Oryzias latipes: one gene and its partner. The protein of the gene in region 1 interacts with the protein of each later gene in a pairwise test. Links are inferred from orthologs where the notes say so. Each region holds a gene or a part of one and is shown in the gene's direction. Other genes may lie near its edges.

Region 1 (3,811 bases):
TCCATTCACAAACTGTGGCGTAACTCGCCCGGCGCTGCCTCCCAGTCTCAGTAAAACTGTGTCCACCATTGGACAGTGTGACTCACCGGGAAGTCAAAAGTGAGCGGCACCTCGTCCATGTGGCTGGATGTGTTTGTCGGTGATCTTTTCGCTGCAATAGGAGCAGAAGATGAACAGCTTTTCATTGTTATTCACTACTGCCCCACTGTAGTCGTTGCCCTGATGGAAAGATGACGGCGTTTCATAAAACGAAAGCACCACGATGGGCCTCCATGAAAATGTTCAATTTTCATCTCTGCCTTCAGTGGAATGGTGACTGTAGAGACACTTAGTCCATCGCTCCAGTCACTCTTCCAACTTGGGCCGCCACGCCTTGTTTCCACGGAAACTCAGCTGTGTCATCTTGATTGTTGGAGTTTGTTTTCCAGCTTCCTCCACTTGTGAACCATGGATTCATTCATCTTAAATTCTCTGCAGCTGCTCGATTCCCATGTTCCTCTGTGTAGCTGATAGCTTGCAGTTTAACTGTGCTTCATTATTGTGTCTCTGTGCAGCATATTCAGGCTTTCCAAACAATGTTGTTCTGCTTAGTGCACATACCTGCACTTTAGTACTATTTGGGGGGTGTCTTCTTTCACGTCCTCACTTCTTTCCTCACCGTTGTCATGCTGTCCTCTCCTACGTCCTCTTTACCAAAGTCACACAACAACACATGAGACGCACCGCACCATAGGGCGCTCCGTACATTTTGGAGAAAATATAAGACTTTTAAGTGTGCCTTATGGTCATGATGATACGGTGTGGTTTTTTCTAGTCTGTCAGCATCATGGCCTGAAGTCGCCTCAGTTCCAAAATGTCGGTCTTTCCAGCACAGTGGAACAGTCCGTGTGATGACCGAAACCTGTCTGTTTTCCAGCTGGAAGAACACCGGAACACCCAAAAACAGATGCGAGTCCTGCAGAAGAAGCAGAGCCAGCTGGTCCAGGACAAGGACAACCTGAGGAACGAGCACAGCAAGGCCATCCTGGCCCGCAGCAAGCTGGAGAGCCTGTGCCGGGAGCTGCAGAGACACAACCGCACCCTGAAGGTGAGGAGCCCACAGCGCTGTGATGCTGCTGAGCAGCCAGCTGGAACAGTGACTGTCTCTGCAGGAAGAGGGCATACAGAGAACCCGGCTGGAGGAGGAGAAGAGGAAGGAGGTGACGTCTCATTTCCAGGTGACGCTGAACGACATCCAGGCTCAGATGGAGCAGCACAACGAGAGAAACGCCAGCCTGCGGCAGGAGAACGCAGAGCTGGCCGAGAAGCTCAAGAAACTCTACGAGCAGTACAAGCTGAGGGAAGAGGTAAGTCCTGGTCCTGCCCCGCGGGGTTCAGTCTGCTGTCAGTCAGGGAGGCTTCATTTCCAACTGTGCCCTCCCCCAACCAGCACATAGACAAAGTGGTGAAGCACAAAGACCTGCAGCAGCAGCTGGTGGACGCAAAGCTGCACCAGGCGCAGGAGCTGCTGAAGGAGTCTGAGGAGCGGCACGAGAGGGAGAAGGACTTCGTAAGGATGTTTTTTACCCAAACACCCCAGAGTGCTGTTCACGGGGTCCTGGGACACAAATGTTATTTGGTTTTTCCCCGGACAGCTGCTGAAGGAAGCCATCGAGTCCCAGAGGATGTGTGAGCTGATGAAACAGCAGGAGGTTCACCTCAAGCAGCAGGTTGTCCTCCTTCTCCCCCCTCAGCTCCGTGTCTTCTCTGCTTTCCCTGAATCTTTTCTTTCTCTTCTCAGCTGTCGCTGTACACGGAGAAGTTTGAGGAGTTTCAGACCACGCTGTCCAAGAGCAATGAAGTCTTCACCACCTTCAAGCAGGAGATGGAGAAGGTGAGGCCCTGGAGGCTCCGCCCACTCTTGAAATGTGGCTCAAGCTGCTCCAGCAACACTTTTCTGTGTTCAGATGACCAAAAAGATCAAGAAGCTGGAGAAGGAGACGGCCATGTACCGCTCCAGATGGGAGAGCAGCAACAAGGCTCTGCTGGAGATGGCTGAGGAGGTGAGCTGCTGTCTGTGCTTCTCCAAAGAAGACGTGCTGTCTGGAAAAGCCCCCAAAACACATGCCGTGTGTGTGTGTGCGTGTGTGTGTGCGTGTGCATGCATGCAGAAGTCGCTGCGGGATCGAGACTTCGAGGCGCTGCAGCTCAAAGTCCAGCGGCTGGAGAAGCTGCGGCGAGCGCTGAAGGTGGAGCGAAACGAGCTAAACAAGAAGGTCCAGGGCCTGTGTGGGGAGCCATCCAGCGCCACGGGGGCTCCAGGCGCCGACCCGGGGACCGACTCCCCGTCCCCACCCCCCACAGACTCTCTGCTGGAGCCCGCCTCCTGCTCCCGCCCCTGCCAGTGTGAGCCGGAGCCCAACGCCCCCCTCCAAGAAGCAAGCGCTGCTGCCCTGGCTCAGGAATGAAGCCTCGGGCTCCTGCAGCAGCAGCAGCCCCCCCCCCCACAGCTGCTGCTCCTCCTTCACACGCCGCTGGAAGAAACGGGACAGACGGAGCAGAACGGCCGGCGGGTCCAACAGGTGTCCGTCTCTGCAGACCGCTTCTCCAAAGCACTTCAAATGTTGCAATAATCCCATTTCCTGCAATAATCTGATTTCCACCTCTTGCTGGTTGTCACTTCTGCCGCGTTCTGATGTTGTAGTCTGCGGCGTGGAAGGGCGGTCCTGCAGCGCGTCAGCCGCAGTGTGGGACGTAGTTTAGCGTCAGACCCAGTCTCAACAGAGACTAACTGGTCTTTAGGCAGCAGTGTTCTGGGTCAGGGGGAGTGATGAAGGCCGTTTCCCACAGACTCATCTCAACCTCTGCTGGGGGCCGCGGGGCTTCACCCCTGCTGGGGGGGCGTTGGGGCTTCACCCCTGCTGGGGGCCGCGGGGCTTCACCCCTGCTGGGGGCCGCGGGGCTTCTGGCTGAAGTCAGACTCTGGGATTGTCTCCTGGTCCGCAGAAGCTCAGATCAGGTTTTAGCAGAAGAATGTTCCGGCACTTCTATGCAACGCTCGCTTCCTGCTGTCGTGTGCGGCGGTCTGAAGCACTTTGACGAGAATGTAATTCTGTTTCCCGGTTGGATCTCTGTTGACTTTAAGGGAATGTTTGGCGTCTGCCATGATTTTAAAAATGTTCACAGCCGAACGGAAAATAGAGAAACTTCAGATTCTTTTGGACTTTTTTCTCCAACCCTTTCTTTTTTCTTTTTAAACTTTTTTCTGCTTCTTTGTTAAAATGATGAATACTAAAATTCAAAAGCTAAAGTTCATTTCCTCTGTTGTGCCCCGGTTTATTGGTCTGAAGGAACCAAAGATCCTCCCCCCGTCTGTTTTTGTCTGCTCCTGGATGTTTCCTGCTGAATAAAACTCTAATGTGTTGAGGAGACTCTTGGGTTCTTTTACTCACTATGTCAAACATTTGATCACCTCTACAAAAAGGATGCAAAACTTAAACGAAATATTGAAAATGAACGAAAAAAATGTATTTTAAAATTGAAGAAACACTGAAAATTAAAATAAAAAAACAGTAAAACTTATCAAATGGAAAAAAGTATTGAACAACTGCTGTTTTGTTTTTTGAACTCTTTGGTCTTTGGTGGAGGGGGTTCTGTGAGCTCATTGGGGGCCGCCCCATTGACTGTAAACGAGAACTGGACTGAGTGACCCCCGCCCCTGGCGTTCCAAACAGGAAGTACCTGCTGGTTCCAGGGAGCCAAACTCCCATAGACGTCTATGGAGAAATAAACAGCTGTTACTCAGTCATTCTATTGTGCAGACTTACCCATT
Region 2 (3,811 bases), on another chromosome or scaffold:
TTTGACAGAGCGCCGTGTACCTCTCAAAACAGCTGTGACATCATAAATACAACCAGAATTAATCCTATAAGGCACTACAACTTAAAAGCTTTTTTTGAAAAACATTAACGCTTTTAAGTGCGTCTTTTAGTACAGAGTATACAAGTGGTGGATGCATCAGAATGGAGCAGAGCAAGGAGCTCGGGGCACACCCAGTGTATTTTCTACCTCACAAATGCGCTCCAAATTTCCAACAATTTGTCTTTAATCTCAAAGAAAAATTGCATTTACCTTCAGATTTTCAGAAGTAATTTTTCCTAAAAAGTCGCATTGTTTTAATAAATGAAGGACCCTGGGAGTATTTCAGGCAGGCAACTCTAGCAGTGGGTTTACCTGGTTACTCCTCCCTGAGGGCGGTTCAGTTTAAATAACTCACCTGTTCAGCGTCCTGTGGTGTGCGCTCCATTCCTTCTCCTCCATTTCCTCGAGCTCTGCGTTTGTCACCCCACTCCACCCTTCCACCTGTGAGCTCCATTAGGGGTAGTTTAATACCCAAAGTTTTCTATGGAGATCTTTGATTTATGTATCTGAACGGAGCCTTATGCCAAACTACGAAATATGGAAATAGATCTTCTTTACTGCATGTTCTCTGACTGAAAAATGACTTACCGGTATGTTTTTCTCTCTTTATATATTTGCTTTTTAATTTCTAATTTTTATGACTAATTAATTTACGTTTCAAAGTTAGTATTAATAAAAAATGTAAATTTCATTTTATTTAATACAAGTGTATTCTATGCTGTTATTTTAAACAGAAAATTATCTATCATCCTTTTTTAGTTGTTGAATTGTCGTTTAAATCCAGCGTTCAAAGATGCAAAAAACAAACAAGCGGTCAAAAGTTTTGATTTGTAGCATCTAAGTGGTAAATCCATGTGTCATGTCAGCTCTTCTTGTCTTCCACCAGCTTCCTTCCTTCCTTTTTTTTGTCTTTCAGAAGAAGGGTGTCAGATAAAGGCGTGAGTCTGAACCGCCCCCTGCTCGGCTCTTTCACTGCCTTGCTTTTAGTCTCTTCATCCTTTTGACTCATCTTCTTTGTGCTCCCTCGTCTTCCCCTGCTTCCCCTTCTATTTCTGCTGCCTTAAGGGTTGTCAGAAAAAAAAGAACTTGGTTCCTGAGGGAACTCATGGCTTCTGAAATTTCCGTTTCTCTTATCGCATTTTGCCAGTGACATGTCCCATCTTTGCTCTACATATAACTAAGAAGGTTTTTGCTTTTTCTTTAAATCCCAGGGTACCAAGTATCTTAAATGCTCACAGGAAAGGACTCCCTTTTTTAGACTTCAACATAATCTTTAAACAGTATACCCCCTTTTGTCTAGTTGTATATGAATGTGTTGAGAGATTTCCTTTTTCTCTTTTTATTTCGGTGTCTGCCAGTTGTCAGAAGCCAGCGACAAGACTTTAGAAAGTGTGAATCGAGAGGCTGATTTCACAGAGCTGAAGAGCAAAGTCCCCTCATCTGTGGAGCTGGTTAAGAAAATGGAGCAGGTATTTTGACATTTTTCTGCCGGGAAGGTTTTACAAAGTTCTGTTGGAACTCTTACAGCTGCTCTGTGCATATGTGTGTGTTTGTGTGTTTGTGCACGCAGCTCGAGGGAAATCTAGCGGAGCGTGAGAGGCAGTTGCTGGAAAAAGAACTCCTGGTGGAGCAGGTGACCCGGCTGACGAAGCCGCTTGGGGAGCAGGCTGAGAACTACCAGCAGGACAGCCTCTCGCTGGCGAAGAGGGTACAGATCCATCTAGGAAGAGAGCAGAGGCTGGGACTCATGCACACACACACACACACAACTGTGTGTTTGTAAGCAGGGGTGTATGTTTGCAGCTGTGTGTCTGCAGGTGTGAAAGTGTGTTTGTGTATTTAGAGGCATGTTTATTTGCAGGTATGTGTGCGCATCTGCAGGTGTGAAGGTGTGTTTACAGCTTTGTGTCTGGAGGTGTGTGTGTGTGTGTGTGTGTGTTTGCAACTGTGTGTTTGCAGGTTTGTTTATTTAGAGGTATTATGTGTGTGTCTGCAGGTATATTTGTGTACATCTCCAAGTGTAAAGGTGTGTGTGTGTGTGTGTGTTTGCAGCTGTGAGTCTGCAGGTGTGTGTATTTAGTGGTATGTGCATTTGCAAGTAGGTGTGCGTCTGCAAGTGTGTGTGCTAGTGCCAAGGTGTGTTCGCAGATGAGTCTGTCTACAGGTGTTTGTGTCTTTGAGGGTTCAGGTTAGGCCTGCACAATATACCGCAAATTTATCGTTATCGCAATATCCAGCTCTGCAATATGCATATCGCAAAAGACGGCGAATATCGCAATAAATCGCAAACCCAAAATGTGTTAAAACAATCTTCTAGCAGCTTGAAGCATTTAACGAATCAAATAAATCCCTTTATGCTTTGACCAATCAGATGGACGCCTTCCCATTGTTGACCAATCAGATGGAGGCCTATTATGTTAACCCTGGTCCTGAAGAGCCTCAACCCTGCCTGTTTTCCAGCTCTCCTTAACCAGCTTGCTGTTGATTGGCTGACTCAAGTGATTTCACATCCTGATTGACTGAACATACCTGATTTTGGTTATCATTATCGAGCAGTCTAGGGAGAATTGGAAAACAGACAGGGTTGAGGCTCTTCAGGACCAGGGTTAGCCACCCTGACGTTTGTCCCCCATGTCGATGAGGGTCATTTGGAGTATAATTTTTAAACTGTTGCAATGAAATGGGAATGATGTTTTTGTTTATTTTTCTATTTGTTTATTTACCGCAGATTTATCGTTATCGCAATATTGATCACTAATATCGCATATCGCAAGTTTTCCTCATATCGTGCAGCCCTAGTTCAGGTGTGTGTGTGTGTGTCTGTCAGGTAGGGGTGTGTTTGTGTCTGCATCTGTGTGTCTGCAGGTGTGTGTTTGTGTGTATGTGTCTGCATCTGTGTGTCTGCAGGTAGGGGTGTGTTTGTGTCTGCAGGTGTGTGTCTGCAGGTGTGTGCGTGTGTTTGTGTCTGCATCTGTGTGTCTGCAGGTGTGTGTGTGTGTTTGTGTCTGCATCTGTGTGTCTGCAGGTGTGTGTGAGTCTGCAAATTTTTATATACATATATAATATGTGTCTACTTTATATTCATTCCTGTTTACTTAAAGGAATGTCATAATGGTAAAATACAAAAGCAAAATATTTGTAAAACATACAAATAAAAAATGTATCCCCCCTCCCCTTTTTTTATTTTAGAGAACTTGTAATATTATGTGAAGTGATAAAAGTGGGGGCATTTAGAGGGCAAATTTTAATAGATCATCTGATAGTTTGAGTTTTCTGTCAAGGTGCAAAAATATTATTACTCAAATATAAGTAAATAATGTAAAATATATAAAGTGGGTGTGAACTTTGATCTAGTAACAAAGGACTTGGTGGGTAATTGCTCCCTTCTGATACCTGCCACTAGTGGTCATTTAAGGAACTGCAACATGTGGTAATTCCATGTTAGCAAAACGTCACAAATAAATAATATTTCATTTCTATCCAAAATCTGAATACGCAGAGTTAGAGATGCTGCCCTTTCTAAAAAGAAATGATCCTGTGTGGTCATGTTCCTTCTTGCACCTCATCTATGGACTGAATGCGTAGACCATGAAAGGCTTTTCTAATCAATACTCGTCTTTTTGTTTCTTGTTTCTAGCTGAATGAAGTCCGGACTCATCTGATCGACACCAACCAGCGCATAATGGCGGTTTCTGCAGAACTGTCCGTCAAGCAGGCTGATGCTTCGTGTGAGCAGCAGCAGATCAAAGAG

The links.
Region 2: the proteins of txlna (region 1) and ccdc146 interact in binary tests that used the Homo sapiens proteins (3 or more experiments, as listed by UniProt). The link is inferred for Oryzias latipes from reciprocal best matches to the Homo sapiens genes TXLNA and CCDC146.

The regions. Positions count from the first base shown.
Region 1 is NC_019869.2:26,641,566-26,645,376, forward strand, and holds the end of txlna (alpha-taxilin), read left to right. Parts: intron 1-916; coding exon 917-1,087; intron 1,088-1,151; coding exon 1,152-1,346; intron 1,347-1,429; coding exon 1,430-1,549; intron 1,550-1,634; coding exon 1,635-1,709; intron 1,710-1,780; coding exon 1,781-1,873; intron 1,874-1,946; coding exon 1,947-2,042; intron 2,043-2,150; coding exon 2,151-2,447; 3' UTR 2,448-3,410; downstream 3,411-3,811. UniProt on the Homo sapiens protein: May be involved in intracellular vesicle traffic and potentially in calcium-dependent exocytosis in neuroendocrine cells.
Region 2 is NC_019881.2:12,668,099-12,671,909, forward strand, and holds part of ccdc146 (coiled-coil domain-containing protein 146), read left to right. Parts: intron 1-1,418; coding exon 1,419-1,529; intron 1,530-1,630; coding exon 1,631-1,768; intron 1,769-3,697; coding exon 3,698-3,811. UniProt on the Homo sapiens protein: Essential for sperm flagellum biogenesis and male fertility.